Stegostoma tigrinum: one gene and its partner. The protein of the gene in region 1 interacts with the protein of each later gene in a pairwise test. Links are inferred from orthologs where the notes say so. Each region holds a gene or a part of one and is shown in the gene's direction. Other genes may lie near its edges.

The links. The genes of interacting proteins can lie anywhere in the genome.
Region 2: the proteins of pdik1l (region 1) and c28h1orf174 interact in binary tests that used the Homo sapiens proteins (3 or more experiments, as listed by UniProt). The two-hybrid records come from large-scale screens. The link is inferred for Stegostoma tigrinum from reciprocal best matches to the Homo sapiens genes PDIK1L and C1orf174.

Annotation. Positions count from the first base shown.
Region 1 is NC_081377.1:29,406,941-29,414,327, reverse strand, and holds the start of pdik1l (serine/threonine-protein kinase pdik1l), read left to right. Parts: upstream 1-4,352; 5' UTR 4,353-4,459; exon of another isoform or gene 4,460-4,466; intron 4,467-4,488; exon of another isoform or gene 4,489-4,881; intron 4,882-7,387.
Region 2 is NC_081381.1:42,840,248-42,848,699, forward strand, and holds the start of c28h1orf174 (UPF0688 protein C1orf174 homolog), read left to right. Parts: upstream 1-5,067; 5' UTR 5,068-5,208; coding exon 5,209-5,223; intron 5,224-8,452.

The DNA of each region.
Region 1 (7,387 bases):
GTAACATCATGCCAACATTAGAAAAAAGTCCTGAATTTACCAAGCACCTTTCATCAGGATTGGATGTCCCAAAACTCTTCGCAGCCAATCAGATAGGTTTGTCATGCGTACTCAAGTATAGGAACACAGAACAGCAAAAAGTGTACAAAAGTGGTGCTAACTTGGTTACAAAACCAAAATTAAAACAAAACAGATAAAATAAAAAAAAGGCTAAGACAACATCCAGATCTTAAAGCCTAAAGTCTTATCTCTATAAAGGCCAATTCTGCATTGTAGGAAAAAGAGCAGTCAATCTGCGTACAATGAGCTCTTACAAATATCAATACAATGATGATCAAATGATCTGATTTTTAGATATTGATAAATGAGATTATCCGTCATGATTACATTATTTCTCATAGGATCTTGCTGCGCACAAAATGGATTCTGTAGTTCCTATTCAAGTAATATTTCATTAACTTTAAAGTACCTTTGAACAGTCTTTATGAAAGGTGAAATATAAATGCAAGGCATTTAGTCCTTAATGTGTAGCTTAATGTCTGTTAAATTGCATCTGTATTTAACTCGTTGTTTAAAGGCATAAGGTATTTTCCCTTCCCAAGAAAAGCATGTCTTCACGTTACTTAGAAATGGATGTGAAGATCTCTTTAAATAAATTTTAAGTCTGACTTAAAGATTTGCATGTGAAATGTTACAACAGTTTTATCAAAGAAATGTGATTTGAATCAGGTTACTTTACAGGATGTGGCATTTCTTTTAGATTATGATGACTTGTCAACAATAAAAATGAAAAGTGTAGATATTAAAATATTTTCTGTAGATATTAAAATATTTTCTGGGATTTTATAAGGCAAATTTGTTGATGGAACTTGTTACTTTGACACATGCTGTGCAACATGAATCATTAAATTGGGTTATTCTACCTTACAGTAACACATTAGAACATTTGAAATTACTTCATTGCAGACAAATTATTATTATTTTTGTTAAATACTTCGGGACTTCTTAAAATTCAGCGTAATACTGGTATATAACACATATACCAAAGTTTTATAATACTAGCATCAGCCCAAATTTTATGAAAAAATCGTGAATGGCATTTTCCACATAAAATATGTCTGGAAAGTGATCACCAGAGTGATGTATTTTCTGAGAATTTTGCTACATTAAAGGCACTCTACCACTCTTTCTTACTATTGTCTGCAAATTCTTTCCCACTTATCCATTCCAGCCCCAACTGGTTGTTGGAGGTGAGTTAATTTGACTCCAGGATATCTCTGCAGAAATTCCTCAGGATATTGTCCTAGGCCCAACCATCTTTAGCTGCCTTATCAATCACTTTCCTCTATCATAAGTTCAGAAGCAGGGATGTTCACTGGTGATTGCACAATATTTAGCTCTTTTAGTGACTTCTCAAAGAATTATGATACCCATGTCAACAAGCAGCAAGATAATATAATATCCAGATTTGGGCTTACATTGGCAAGTAACAATCGCACTTTACAAGTGCCATCTCAAACAAGAATGAATCTAACCTTCACCCCAAATGCTCCCAAACCCCATTGCAATGGGAGAAATTTTTCTATATCTACTTTGTCTAGAATTCTCAAAATATTTTCTGTGTTCCTGTTCCTGTGCTTCCCTTAAAATTATATCTGTTAGTTTCTGTTGACGTTTCTCTTTCTTCTTACTGAAATATATTATGTTCCATTCCACTGCATTAAATGTTATCTGCTTCATGCTTGGCCCTTCCTTCAGCTAATGTGTTCTTGATATCTATTACTATCCTCAAATTTTCCAAATATTGTGTCATCTACACATCTCAAAAATGCATTCTTGCAAAAAGTCTTGGTCATCATGTGTAAGAAAAACAGTAATTTCAGAACTGACCCCTAAGGACCTCCAACTTTGTCTCTAGTTTCTACCATCCTCCAGCCTGACAATAACCATTCACCACTGCCTTGTTTCCTATCACTCAGTCACTTGCACTTACCTTAAAACTTTTCCACTATTCTATTTATATGTCAGATTTCAATTTCAGACTCAGATGGTAAATAGCAAGGAGGAATGTCTTAGACTACAGGATGATATAGATGAGCTGGTTAAGTGGCAAAAAGAACGTAATCCAGAAAAGTGAGATGCCACAATTTAGAAGAACTGACAAGTACATGATGAGTGGTAGGTGACTGGGAAATATAGAAGATCAGATGGGCCTTTGTGTGCATATCTATAGATCCTTGGACGCAGCTGGACGTTGGTCAAGAGGCATATGGAATATGTGCTTTCATTAGTTGAGGCATTGAATACAAGGACTTAGGAGGTTATGATGGAGCTGTATGTAGTGTTAAGGCCATACTTGGAGTACTGTGCACAGTTATGGTTGCCACAGAATAAGAAGGATGTGATTGCACTTGACATGGTGCAGAGCAATGTTCCCTCTAAGTTATGTTGCTCATGCATGCACGTGCACATGCATGGCAACTCCGAATTGCCAAACATGGCAATCAGTGCTTTTGGCGGTAGTTGTCATGTGCACAGACCTCCAAGGAAAAAATATTAGAGGGAACGCTGGTTTGGAAGAGATTCACCAAGATGTTGCTTGAGTTGTAACAATTCATCAATGAAGGCAGGCTATTCAGCTAGGTTTGCTTTTCCTTAGAGCAGAAAAGGCGGAGGGATGATCTGATGGAAGTGTTCAAAATTATGAGGGTTATTGATAGGGAGAAACCTTTTTCTTTAATAGACAAGCCAGTAACCAGGTATGGTAAGGACCAGGGGGTTTAGATGGGATTTCAGGAAACAATTCTTCAACGGGGGTGGTGGGTATTCAGATCTCACTGCTTGAAAGAGTGGTGGAGGCAGGATCCATGAAGACATTTAAGTAGAATTTGGATGCAAACTTGAAACATGATCTACAAGGCAATGGTGGAAGTGCTGGAAAAATGAAATTCGAACAGATGGATGCTTAGACACAATGGTCGGCACAACATCGTGGGCTGAAGGGCCTGTTCTGTGCTGTACTGTTCTATGTTCTTAATGGGCTGAAGGGCATTTTTCAGTGATATAAAATAAAAGCAGAACTGATTGTGAAGAAGGGTCATTGGCCCTGAAATGTTAACTTTAATTTCTGGTTTCATAGATGCTGCCAAACCTTCGTTTGTTTATGATTTCCAGCATCCGCAGTTCTTTGTTTATTTTGGTCAAAGCTCTATTTCTCTGTTGACTCTAGTTTTAACAATACTTGTTATTACTATTAATGAAATGATGCAACCCCTCAATTTACCTTGGGATTTTTTTAAAATTTGCTTTGTTTTTTTTCATTAAAAAGTTAAACAGCTTACTTTCGCAGTGGGAACTGAGGAAACTTCTTCACAGAGTGAATGGTTGAGGCAGGTACAATAGGAACATTTACAAAACATGTGGCTAGGTGCATGGATTTTGACTTGATAGAAGTGTACAAAATGATCAGAGATAAAATAGACAGCCAGAGACTTTTTCCTAGGGTGGAGGTAGCTGTTATGAGGGGGCATAGTTTTAATGTGAGTGGAGGTAGATATTGGGGAGACGCCAGAGGTAGGCGCTTCATTCAGAGCAGTCGGGGTGTGGAATGCATTGCTGGAGAGGGTAATGGAGTTGGCCTTGTTAAGAGCATTTAAATGGCTATTAGATAGGCATGTGGATGATAGCATAAGTTGGGATAGAGGTTAGATAGACCTTTTAGGATTAGGGTAGTAGTTCAGGACAACATCATGGGCCAAAGGGCCAGTACTATGCTGTGCAGTTTTATGGATGGGAAAGGTTTAGAGGGATATGGACCAAATGCGGGCAATTCGAACTATCTGGACAGGCACTATGGTCAGCATGGACCAAGTACAGCCGAAGACCCTGTTATCATGCTGTAGTGCTCTATGACTGTATAACGAAACTAAGTCATCCGCACTGCATCCTCAAGTTGCACCAGATTTGAAAATTTGTCTTCGCGCAAATGCGGGAGAGGAGGGGCGGGGCTTCTTGGGGAGGCGGGAACGTCAATCACAGGGTCGGTGCAGTGCGGAGCTTGTACAGCTCACCACCCCCTACCAGAGTCACAAATCACATCTGCGGGGAATGCAATGAGTGACTGAACCTGCCTAATAACAGTAAAAGCGGGTGGGCGGAGCCTAGGACACGAGGGTCGAATCAGGCGAAGGTGCCCTGGCCATGTGGGCAGGGACGTTCCGGAGGGGCGCCTGGCGGCAGTGTGACTGACAAGAGGGTGGATGATGAGGCTTCCGATTGGATCAAAGGTTGGAGGGGGCGGGGCGCGGCATGGGGCGGGAGCACGTGCGTGAGTGGCAGTTATTTGAAGCCGGAGCTCGCGCATTGGCGGCTGGCGTGAGCGAGCGGGAACGCGGGAGTGAGACCACAGAAGCAATGGCCGAGAGCAGAGCGGGAGAGCAGCGAGCACCAACCGACTGAGGTAGAAAGTAAAATAAAAGACACACGTGTCCATTTACCGAGCTGTGACACCCACGAATGAATGAATGAATGAATGAACGAATGAATATTAATAACCGGCGAGCGTTGTAACGGCAGACAGACAGCATGAGCTGCCTGCTGCTCCGCAATCTCCCTCCTTTCACAGGCCGCTCGTTCCCTGATGTGAATCCCTGGCGGTGGGGGAGGAGGTATTGAACTCTCGGTGCGGCTTGCAAGCGCTCTTCCTCTGTTACTGATGCACAGTTACTCAAAACTGCAATCCCTGATTAAGGCCCAAGTGGATTCGAGGTAGTTGGTGAGCCTCTGCCTGCATTTCTATCCGCAGGCGCATTACAGGAACGGCTCCATTGAAGGAAAAGCAGGCTGGGGAGGAGGTCCAGGCCAGGCCATACTTTTCTCCATGTATGTTATTGCTCCCTACATAATACCTTGCACTTCATCCTCCATTGAACCCCCACCACACCTCCCGCAGTTTTCTTGAGCGATTAGAAATAAGCAGATTTCCTAAGTGCTGTTACACCTTAAATTTGTGCCAACTCGTGATGCCTCAAATGACTTTACCGTGAATAAGGAACTTCTGAAATTAAGTAATTGTCTAACATGGTAACCAGGTCCCGTGTACTACAGTGAAATGAATGACCATAGAGAGATGAGGGGGGCATTGCATTTGACAACTTTCCTCTTTTGGCTAGCACTAGAGGATTGTCCGCTAGCAGATGGATGTGCTGTGTTTATGTTAATTTGAATTGGCATTTCTGACAGTGTTGCACTCTGTTGATGCCATCTTAGATTGTTTGCTCCACTATCTGGAGTGGTATTGTGAATCCTGAACTTTTCTGTTGAGATGAGAGGTCTACCAGTTGCAGTGCAGGAACCCCTCCTTTACAGTTGTCAACTGGGCTTTTGCTGCCATGTAACAACTGTAACCACTAATTGTTGTCTCTACTGTTTTTTAATATTTGTTCACTGATGGACATGTCACTAACATAACCAATATTGCTCATGTGAAAAGGTGTTAAGTTGCTGTAGATCTTATTGTCTTGGTACACTGATAGAGCTTTTAGCAAATGAGTTCTAGGCTGTTAATTGAGAGGTAATAAAGGAAAGGAAAGGAAATATTGTTCTAAATTGGGATTGTGTGACTTGGAAATAAATTGAGGATGTGATGTTCCAATAGTCTGACCCTTTTTCTGTGTGTGGAACTTTGGTTGTAAGCTACTTTTGAAGAAGGAGCTTGGGTGAGTTGAACTACTTTTGTAGATGGTCCATCTGCAGGTAAAGGAGGGAGTAAGGAGGTTGCTCTATCTACTATATTGGATTGACCTCCCATCTTGTTTGGATGAGTGCCATTTAAATAAGTGCAGCGTGACATTCTGTTACACGACTGATGTTGTGACTTTTTAAGCTGTGGTAGCCTTGGGAAGTTGGGAGGTCAGTCATTCACTGCTGAATTCCCATCTGAGCTGCACTTGTAGCCAGCATTCCCACCATTTTTCTTCAGAATTGGAAGTCAGTGCTGCGAATGACATTGCCATGCCAATTGTGTGCAATTCTGCAAGCTCACAGCTTAGCTTGCTTGTAGCCACAATATTTACGTGGCTGATCCAATTCAACTTTCAATCACTACTAACCCTCTAGAAGCAGTGGGAATTCTGATGGGAATGCTGTTGATTGTCAAGAGGACAAACAGACGTGCCAGAGAATTGCTGGAGGCCTGGCAATCCAACCAGAACTCCCTCAACAAACACGTTGAACTGGACCTGAGAAACAAACCATGGGAAAAACAGAACCGTCAGTGGTGCCAACCACCACAGCAAACCGAGGTACGTAAAGAACAAGTGCGCAGAACACCAGCATTTCACCAGAGGTTCACTGAATGCTACCTAGCAGGGTGATGAAACGTGTGCATTCAGACACACCAGCTCAGCACGCAAGACTGCAATTACTTCCACAACCCAAGCAACAAATGTTCTCAAACGTTTTTGAAATTACCTGGTCAAATTAGGTTTTCAATGGACGATGCAGTCAACAGGGAAAAGACAGGAAGTTGTTGAGACAACAGCAGATCAGCCCTGACCTTATTGAATGTCAGAGTAAGCTTAAAGAACCAAATGGTTTATTCCTAATCTCTGTTCAATCAGTGAGCCTTTACATTTCTGAAATTTTACTGGAGGCAGTGTTGCAGTTGAAGATTGTCGGTCCTAACTTCAAATAGCTGTGAGTTGGAACTGAGGTGCTTGCGCTGTAATAACCACAAGCATAGCCTTTTGTACTTGGTATGACTCCAGCCAGCGAAGAGCTTTCTTTCGATTCAATATTGCTAGGATTCCTTAATGCCATTTGGTCACTCAGCATCAAATGCCATCTTGATGCTGAAGGAAATTACTGTTGTCTCACTTAATCTTTGGGAATTGGCTCTTGGATCCATATTTGCTCAAATTAAGTTTCACTCCTTTGTGGAAATCGCTGATTGTGGTTGTACATGGCTCCATGATACTTCCTCCAAGGTCAACTTTTTTTTTTAATTGAACACCTTGGCAGACCTGAAGACATCTTCACAATTCCTTTAATGGTAAAGTTGCTGTAGTCCTACCAGGCCATAGGGCTGCTGTCCCACTAGAGAGCTATGACTAAACTGGAGGGTCACTATGCTCGTGAGGTTGAGAAGCTGTGCCCTTCATGGCAAACCTCAGCTGGTGTGGCAATTGACATCATGCTGTTGGCCTCCCTCTGCATCACAAAACAACTGTTCAACCAATTGAGCTAACTGACCACTTTTATTTACATGTTTTTCAACTCTTGTAATCATTTTAAACTGAGTTATTTTGAAAGATTTGAATTTAGTAGGGTGAGGTAATAATTTGGTACCTCAAATAAGCTAGAACTAAGAATGAACATGTTCGTTGGC
Region 2 (8,452 bases), on another chromosome or scaffold:
TACAGGAGCTTTCTCCAAGCCAGTTTCTTCTGAACGAGGGTCTCCTATGAATTGATATCTATGTTGCATTTCATGATGGAAGCCTTCGTGGATCCTATGAAACACTTCCTTTGTCCTCCTCACATTCGAATGCCTTCCTTGATTGGGCAAAGAAGATTTGCTTTAGTAGTCAGAATTCAGGCATCCTAAGCATATGGCCAGCCCAGGCGAGTCAATTTTGGATGCTCGTGGCCTCAGTGCTGTTGCTGTTAGCTGCTTCAAGGATGCTGATGTTAGTACGCCTGTCATCTCAACTGATGTGGAGAATCCAGCTCAAATAACATTGGTATTTCTCAAGGGTCTTGAGGTAGGCGCGTATACATAATCCAAGTTTCAAACCATATAGAAGAGTTGATGAAGGGTCTAGGCCCGAAACATCAGCTTTTGTGCTCCTGAGATGCTGCTTGGCCTGCTGTGTTCATCCAACTTCACACTTTATTATACAGAAGAGTTGGAAGGATGACTGCCTTATGCCCAAGGATCTTGTTATCAACATGGATGTCACAGTTGTTGAAGACGCTCACCCTTAGCTGTCTGAAGGCAGCACTTGCAGATTATATGTAATGTTGAATCTCTACATCATTGTCAGCCTTAGATGAGAGGTAGCTTCTCAGGTACGGAAATGTGCCACATTTGGGAGGATTTCTCTGTTGATCTTAATAGAGGGGTGGACCAGAACTTGACCTGGGATGGGTTGGTAAAGGATTTGAGCTTTCTTAAAGTTGAGCCTGAGACAAATTCTTCAGTGTGCTTCTGAGAAGGCATTAAGTGAAGCTTGAAAATTCTCTTCCAAGAGACCAGAGGTGACATTGTCATCCGCATGCTCAAGTTCCGCAAGTGAGGTCAGTGTCAGCTTCTTCTTGGATTTCAATTGGTTGAGTTTGAAAAGATTTCCATCCATGCTGTGGACAATGTTCACACCACTGGAAAATTTGTTCTTGACAAGATAAAGGATGTTGGCAATGAAGGTGGGAAACGGCGGGTGTGATGACACATCCCTGCTCAATCATTATCTTCATCTCAAAGGATTCTATCCTTTGCTGTCAATGAGGACCATTGCCAATATCGAGTCATGTAGCATAGAAACAGACCCTTCATCTAGCCATAGTGGAGACAGAGGATGGTAATGAGTAACAGTAGACAGCCAAACTTTGACAGGATCTTCCATAAAAGTTCCTGCCTGAGTCAAAAGTCTTGCTCAGGTTGATGAAGGCCAGGTAGAGTGGTTGGTGGTGTTTCTGACATTTATCTTGGTATTGCCAAGCAATGAAAATCATGTGCCTAGGTCCACAGTTTGGTTGGAAGCCATGCTGGCTTTCAGGAAAGATTTCTTCTGAGACTGAGAGAAGGTGCTTAGCAATGATTTGGGTGATGGAGAGGAGGGAGGCTCCTCAGTAGTTCCCACAGTTCACTTTGTCTTCTTTCTTTAGTGAGCTGGAGGGAAAGATAAACAAAACCTGTAAGTATCTTGCATTTTACATAACCACCAAATATCCCAGAGCTCCTTATAGCCAATGCAGTAATTATGAGAGATGGGCCCAGTGCTTGGTTTTATTTCTTTGCAAACTTAAGTAGGACTGACAAAGTTATTTTACAAATTCTGATGAAAATCTGTGTCTATAATTCTCCAAACAGGTTGTAATTCTAGGTTTTGCCATCACAGCTGCTGTGCTGGAACTGCTGGCCCTTTCAGAGCACCAAGATAAATTTTCTGAACATGGAAACCTGGAAATAGGCATTGGAATTGCAGAGTATATCTGATGGAAACCTAAGATATCATAACTGTAGGCCTGTCTTCTAATTGGTTTCAGAGCCTCTATTTTATATAATCAATCTGAATATTTATTACATACTGCATGTAATGCAGTAAGAAAATGCCAATGGCTTTCTGCTGAATCGTAAACACTGGATATGAACGTAATAGTACCAGACATCTGCTCACAAATTCCAAATTACTAAAGAAATATGTCTTATCTTTAATCTTAATCACTTCCCAGTAGAATTCCCAGAGGGATGAGAGTGTTCGTGAATGTTGTTGACAGAACTAGCTGCTTGATTATGACCTAAAGATCCTCACACAATACATCATTAAATAAGATTTCCTTAAGAAAGAGCACTCATGGTTCAGCACAAATTATCACTCTTCGGTATTTTCCCTACCCTCTATAACAACAACAACTTGCATTTGTTTCATGCTTTTCATGTAACAAAATGTCCCAAGGCAATTTGCAACTACTGTGAAATCAAAAATTGACACTGAACCAGTAACAAAATCAGATGTTTGGTCAAACAGGGAGGCCTTAAGTATTGTCTTTAAACAATCAAGAGCAATATATAGGCAGAAAGACTTAGGGAGGGAGATACACAATTTAGGGTCTTAGTAGTTGAAGGCAGGGCCACTGATCGTAGTGTGAGTCAATTAAAATCAGAAATGTTTAAAAGCCTATCTGCAGTTGTTCAAAACAAGTCAGATAACACCAGACAATAATCACGTTCTGTTTCCAAAATTATGTATTTTATTCTTAAAATTTGTGAAAAAATTACAAAACACATGGCTCCAAATTACAGTTTGCGAGAAAATTCACCTTGTCGCAATACAATGAGTTTCACTTTATATAATTGTAATAATCTTAATATATACAACATATAGTTCACATAAGGTATACAGGCTGATGGTAAACCAGTTTGTATTTGAAATGTCAGAACATATTTTACAGTTTCATGTTCCACTCTGAGGTTCCTCAATACATTTCTATACTCTTGATTGATAATACATATTCTTTGTAAGGCACACAACTAAGCAATTACCATCTCAGTAGTATCCACCACAGCACTGACACTGAGTGATTGCTTATATTATCAGTATCAATTCAGTGTTAATCTAGTTGCTTGGTGAGGTTATATGTTAGTGCTTTGATATCATATTCTGAAATTAACCTCATAGTGTTTGATCAGTAATGGTTTATTCCTGCAATAAAGAATGTCCTAAATATAGCGCTTCAGTGAAAAGTGGCTAATAAAATTATCTTACAAAGACAAAGTATAGGAGTTGGGACATCATGTTGAGATGTACAGGAAGTTGATGAAGCCTCTTCTGAAGTATTGTGTCCAGTTATGTTTTTGGAAGGATATTATTAAACTGCAGATGGTTCAGAAAAAAAATTACCAGGATGTTGCTGGAGTAGAGTCTTTGAGTTATAAAAATAGGCTGGATGGACTGGGTCTTTTTTCACTGGAGTGTAAGAATTTGGGGGTGATTAAAAAATCATGAGGGGCATGGATAGGTGTCTTTTCCCTAGGTTGGGTGATTTCAAGACGAGATGCCATATTGTTAAGGTGAGAGGAGAAAGATTTTATAAAGACATGATGGGCAACTTTTTTACACAGAAAGTGGTTCATGTGTGGAGTGAACTTTCAGAGGGAGTGGTGGGTGTGGTTTGTTTGCATTGTTTAAAAGACATTTAGATAAGTACATAAATAAGAAGTGTTTGGAGGGATATGAGCCAAGCACAGGCAGGTGGGATCATTTTAGATTGGGATTATGGTCAGCATAGACGAGTTGGACCAAAGTGTCTGTTTTTGTGCTGTATGACTCTGACCCTATGACCTGAAAGAGCACAACCTTGAAAAAAATTGCAATATCACCAAGCTGCCCTCTACTTAAGGATAAATAGACACTAAAAAATAAAGCTGCCATTCAGCCCTACCTGGGAAAGAATCTAAATATTATTTATAGGTCAGATAATTTAGTGAAAGAGAATTAGTTCTAAAATAATGGCAATCCACTGAGTAAACACACGGCTGTAATAAATTTCAGTTTTAAAAATAATATAAGTCTTAGCCCCACAAAAGTTACTTTGCAATTTACCGAATATCCAAAGTAGTGAATTTTTCGATAGTTCGATTTTTCTAAAGCACAGAGAATATGGAAATCTGAAATAGAAACAAAAAAAAGTGGAAATACTCAGTAAGTCAGGCAGCACATCTCGACAAAGAAGCAGTTAATGTTTCGGGTTAATAATCTTTCATCTGTACAAGAAAAAAGTGGGAGATGGGATAAGTTTGAAGCAAATTGAAGGGGTGATGGTGAGAAAAAGCACATAAGGGAATGTTTGTGGTCAGATGGAGGGAAAGAAAGATAAACGACTCAAGTCAGAAGCCAAAGAAGTGATAGTGGAACAAGTAAAGAAACAAAAGATGTGTCAAGAGGTTTTGGGAACGACAGAATGATGAACAGTCGCTGCTCAAAAGCAAAACCAAGAGCGGGTAGGCAAATCAAATGTAAAAACCTCAAATCAGCAAAGAAAAATGAACGTGATTAGAGACGTTACAATTTGAAACGGTTGAATTCATTGTTGTGCCTGACAATCTGCAGAACATACAAAGGATTTAAGAACGCCCCTTGAGCTCCAGATGTTATTGTGTATAGGTAATGCCATTCATCAGTGACAATTATAATCTTAAAAAGTGCTCAAAATGGCATTTTTGGTCATTTTTCCGGGAATATAAGAACAATTGTCGACAGATACACTGCTGATAGTACCTGGAATAAGGTACATTTTGTGCGGCAATTTGAACCGTATTTCTGTTTGTTACTGTGCGCGCGCGTGAAAATTCATCAGAGTTGTTCGACATATATTGTGGTCAATTTAATGAAACAGTTCTTGACTTTGATATAAATTGTGTAAGCAATATGTGCCATATAGTTCGAGTATGCTAGAAGATAAGCAAATTGGTTAGAAATTGTACATATCCCTTACTTGCTAAACTGCAAAACAATTTAGAAGGTACAGTAATGGTCGGTCACTTTTACTGGCGTTGCAAACTGTGCTTTTACACAAATAGAGCTCATGGTTTACTTTCATCTGCCAAAAGTACTCAAAAGGTATTAATCCAATGCAAAGTCAGCTTTCTGCACAGTTTGACATTTTTCTATTTTGCCCTTCACAAAGATGGCGGGGCCCATTTAATACGGAATGATGGACGTCTTAGCAAACCAATCGACACGCCGAGTGGGCCACAATCCTCCATTCAGACAGCGGTCTGGGCGTGTGGGGTGGGGTTGAGTCTCGGAGACCGAGTTTCGCTGAAAGTTGCAAATGTTTGTTACAGTCCTGTTTGCGGCGAGCGTGTGACTGTAACAGGTTGGGACGATCGCTTTCACTGAAGATGAAGACTAAGCAGGTAGGAGTTTACTGGAGTTCGGCTTGCAGGTGCTATTTTCCCCGTCTAGCTACTGAATGTTATTAAAGGGATCCGCAGCCTGTGCCTGAGCGCGCTGAAGTGTTTGTCTTCACAAAGTTGAGATTCCCAAAAACTGCCTGCCTGCAAGCGCTGAAATTTTTTTAAGGTGCAGTTTTAAAACATCAACAGTTAATTGCTGTCTCTTGTATTGCAAGAGCCTCTTAGAACCCGACCGGCACAAGGTCCAAATATGTCGTCGGCAAGTCACAAAAGAGGAGTCAGGAAGTCAGTTCAATGCAGGCTGTGTCCTTCCCCACCAGTTGGCCCTGCCTATATAGGGTAGGTTGATATGGGCTCTGCTAGAATAGCAATCCTGAGTTACGATGGCACAGACTGAGCTGGGAGGGTAGCTTTGTTGAGAATACTGCTGGAACGTGTTTTGGAGGTAATATTATTATATGAATCTCGCTGTTGTCACAATCAAGAGATGCCACAGAATCGTGAAGTTTTCGATCGATGTTGTACCGGCATCGAGATTTTGTTTTGGAAGGTGCACACTTTTTGAGGCGAATGACAGCTAATGTGCCCCAACTAAAACAATAAAGGACCGTTTCCTGTGTCTGTGGAAGATAATTTGTCTGGATTTCAAATTGTGAAGTAGGACAACAATGTACAGTGCTGCTAGATGTTCTTGAAAGATGAAGCAACAAGAGAAAAAGTATTAAACAGCCAGATTTATGTCGCAGGTCCTCAGAGCTTTGAGGCCCAGTCACTTTGTTTCCATTTATATTTGGCACCAAGAAAGTGGTTTATAAACATTCAGCAGGCCTGTGTCAGAAGGTTGGCCCATATGGTTGGCTCAGGGATAGCTGTGTGAATGTCGATTATGTCATTATAAAGGTGCTTTGTGTAAACAGTCGGATCTTTGGCGGGATACTGTCAGGCTTTCATCAGCGAGTGGGCGAGTTAGCTTTAAATCTATGAAGTCATTTATTGTGTTGTCGGCGGTTGTCTAGGCATTTTGTTGATGTTAAACGGTTTCGTTCGTTTTACCCACTCTTTCTCCACAGTTTTCGCCCACTCTTTCTCAAGGATGTTAATTCATTGCCAGGGTGAAGTTCCTTCAGCACGAGCAGTTTTGACTATTTTGACGAATAAGCATTCTGTCAAGTGCGTGTTTCGGCAGTTAACGGGCAGAAATTTCAACCACATCGGCGGGAGGTGGGGGGTGCTAGTGCTTCGGAATGGTTCCGAGTGGGGGGCAATAAAAACCAAGAGAACTGCGGATGCTGTAAATCACTAACAAAAACAAAAGTTGCTGGAAAAGCTCAGCAGGTCTGGCAGCATCTGTGGAGGAGAAAACAGTTAACGTTTCGGGTCCGGTGACCCTTCCTCCGAGAAAGGAAATTTGTGTTCGTTGTACTGCATCAACTTTGCATTTGCAGTCAGCTGACCAAACTCCAGCCCAACCATCATCGCTACTGAAGTTGCAAGTTCAATTTAAAATTTGTCATCAAGCTGTTCGTTCTGGAAAAACCATCTCAACCACCCTTCTACTGATAGCGGAGTCTGTGCATGGGGGTGTCAATGGATAGTGATTCACAGTGAGACATCACTGGACTCTAACTTCCTCCTCTAGGCCAGCTCAAGTGGGGTAAGGCATTCCAACTGTTTTCCTTGACTGAACCTGGTCTTTGTGGGAGGAATTTAATGCTCTTCCCTGTGGTAAACTTGATGCCGGGGTGCCAAATTAATTGGTGGGATTCTGCCAGCTACCCTCTTCTGCCCTGATTAAGCCAATGGATAATCTTCTCACCTTCACTGTTAACTGAGACCAAAGTGAGCAACTAATGCCATTTATCCCACTTCCACTGTTGAGTAGAGGGAAAGGATGCTCACCATGCATGGAACATATGACAGAAATCATGGGTGGGCCCCTCATTCAAAGGCACAGTGCTTGAGTCTTACTATTTTGCTCTTGCTGCTAATTCCCAACCTGCTCCTTGATCCCGGGTAAGGTCATTGCTGTCTGGTAAGTATGTCTCAGTGGCAGTTAATTAAGTGGGTCTTCGCTAAAAGAAGCAATGGTTGACATGTGTGCAACCACTATCAACGTCTTAAAAGCTGCCCTGTGATTTAGGATCACAGCAGGTGGCTCATTGGCATTTTGAGCCAGGGAACATCTTTCAAGAATGATTGACAAAAAGTATTTCTTTCAACTGCCCTAACTATGTTATGATTAATGTTCAGAAGCAGTTCAATATTTCTGCTCTAAGAGATAACAAGGTGTATAGCTGGATGAACATGCAGGCCAAGCAGCATCATAGGAGCAGGAAAGCTGACGTTTTGGACCTAGACCCTTCAGATTCTCCAGCATCTGCAGTTCCTACTATCTCTGAAGCAATATTTCTGCTGTCTGTACTGTTGAATATCCCTAGTTTGAGCTTTTTGACCTTTAGGATCTGTATAAATGCTAGCGTGCAACAACATCTCTTGTTGCTGCGGTTGATGCCAATTCAATAGCACCCTGTGGACAGTGTTGCCCATCCTTGATCCTTGATTTGAGTGGTTTGCAAGGTTATTGAAGAGGATAGAATAGAATCCCTACAGCGTGGAAATAGGCCCTTCGGCCTAACAAGTTCATGCCCACCCCCCTATAAAACTACCTAATCTACACATCCCTGAACACTACAGGCAATTTTAGCATGGCCAATCCACCTAGCCTGCGCATTTTTGCACTGTGGGAAGAAACCAGAGCACCCAAAGGAAACCCACGCAACATGGGGAGAATGTGCAAACTCCACACAGACAGTTGCCCCAGGGTGGAATTGAACCCGGGTCCCTGGCGCTGTGAAGAAGCAGTGCTAACCACTGTCCCACCGTGTAGTTAAAGTCAACTCTGTAGCTGTAGGCCTGTAGTCACATGTAGGTCACATGCCAAGTTAGGATGACAGTTTTCCTTTCCAAAAAGGGATAGTTGATCCAGAGGAAGTTTTACAACAATTGATGATATTTGTCATGGTCATCATTATATAGGACTAGCTTTCAGTTTCAGATTTACTATTTTAATTTAAATTCCATCAGTTGCCCTGGTGGGATTTGAACCCATATCCCGGAGCCTGGGCCTCTAGATTATTAGTCCAATGGCAATACTGCTATGCCAACATCTTCCCATATCTACAAATTTCACTGCCTTCACCAATTGACCAACTACTTGGACACCTTTTTG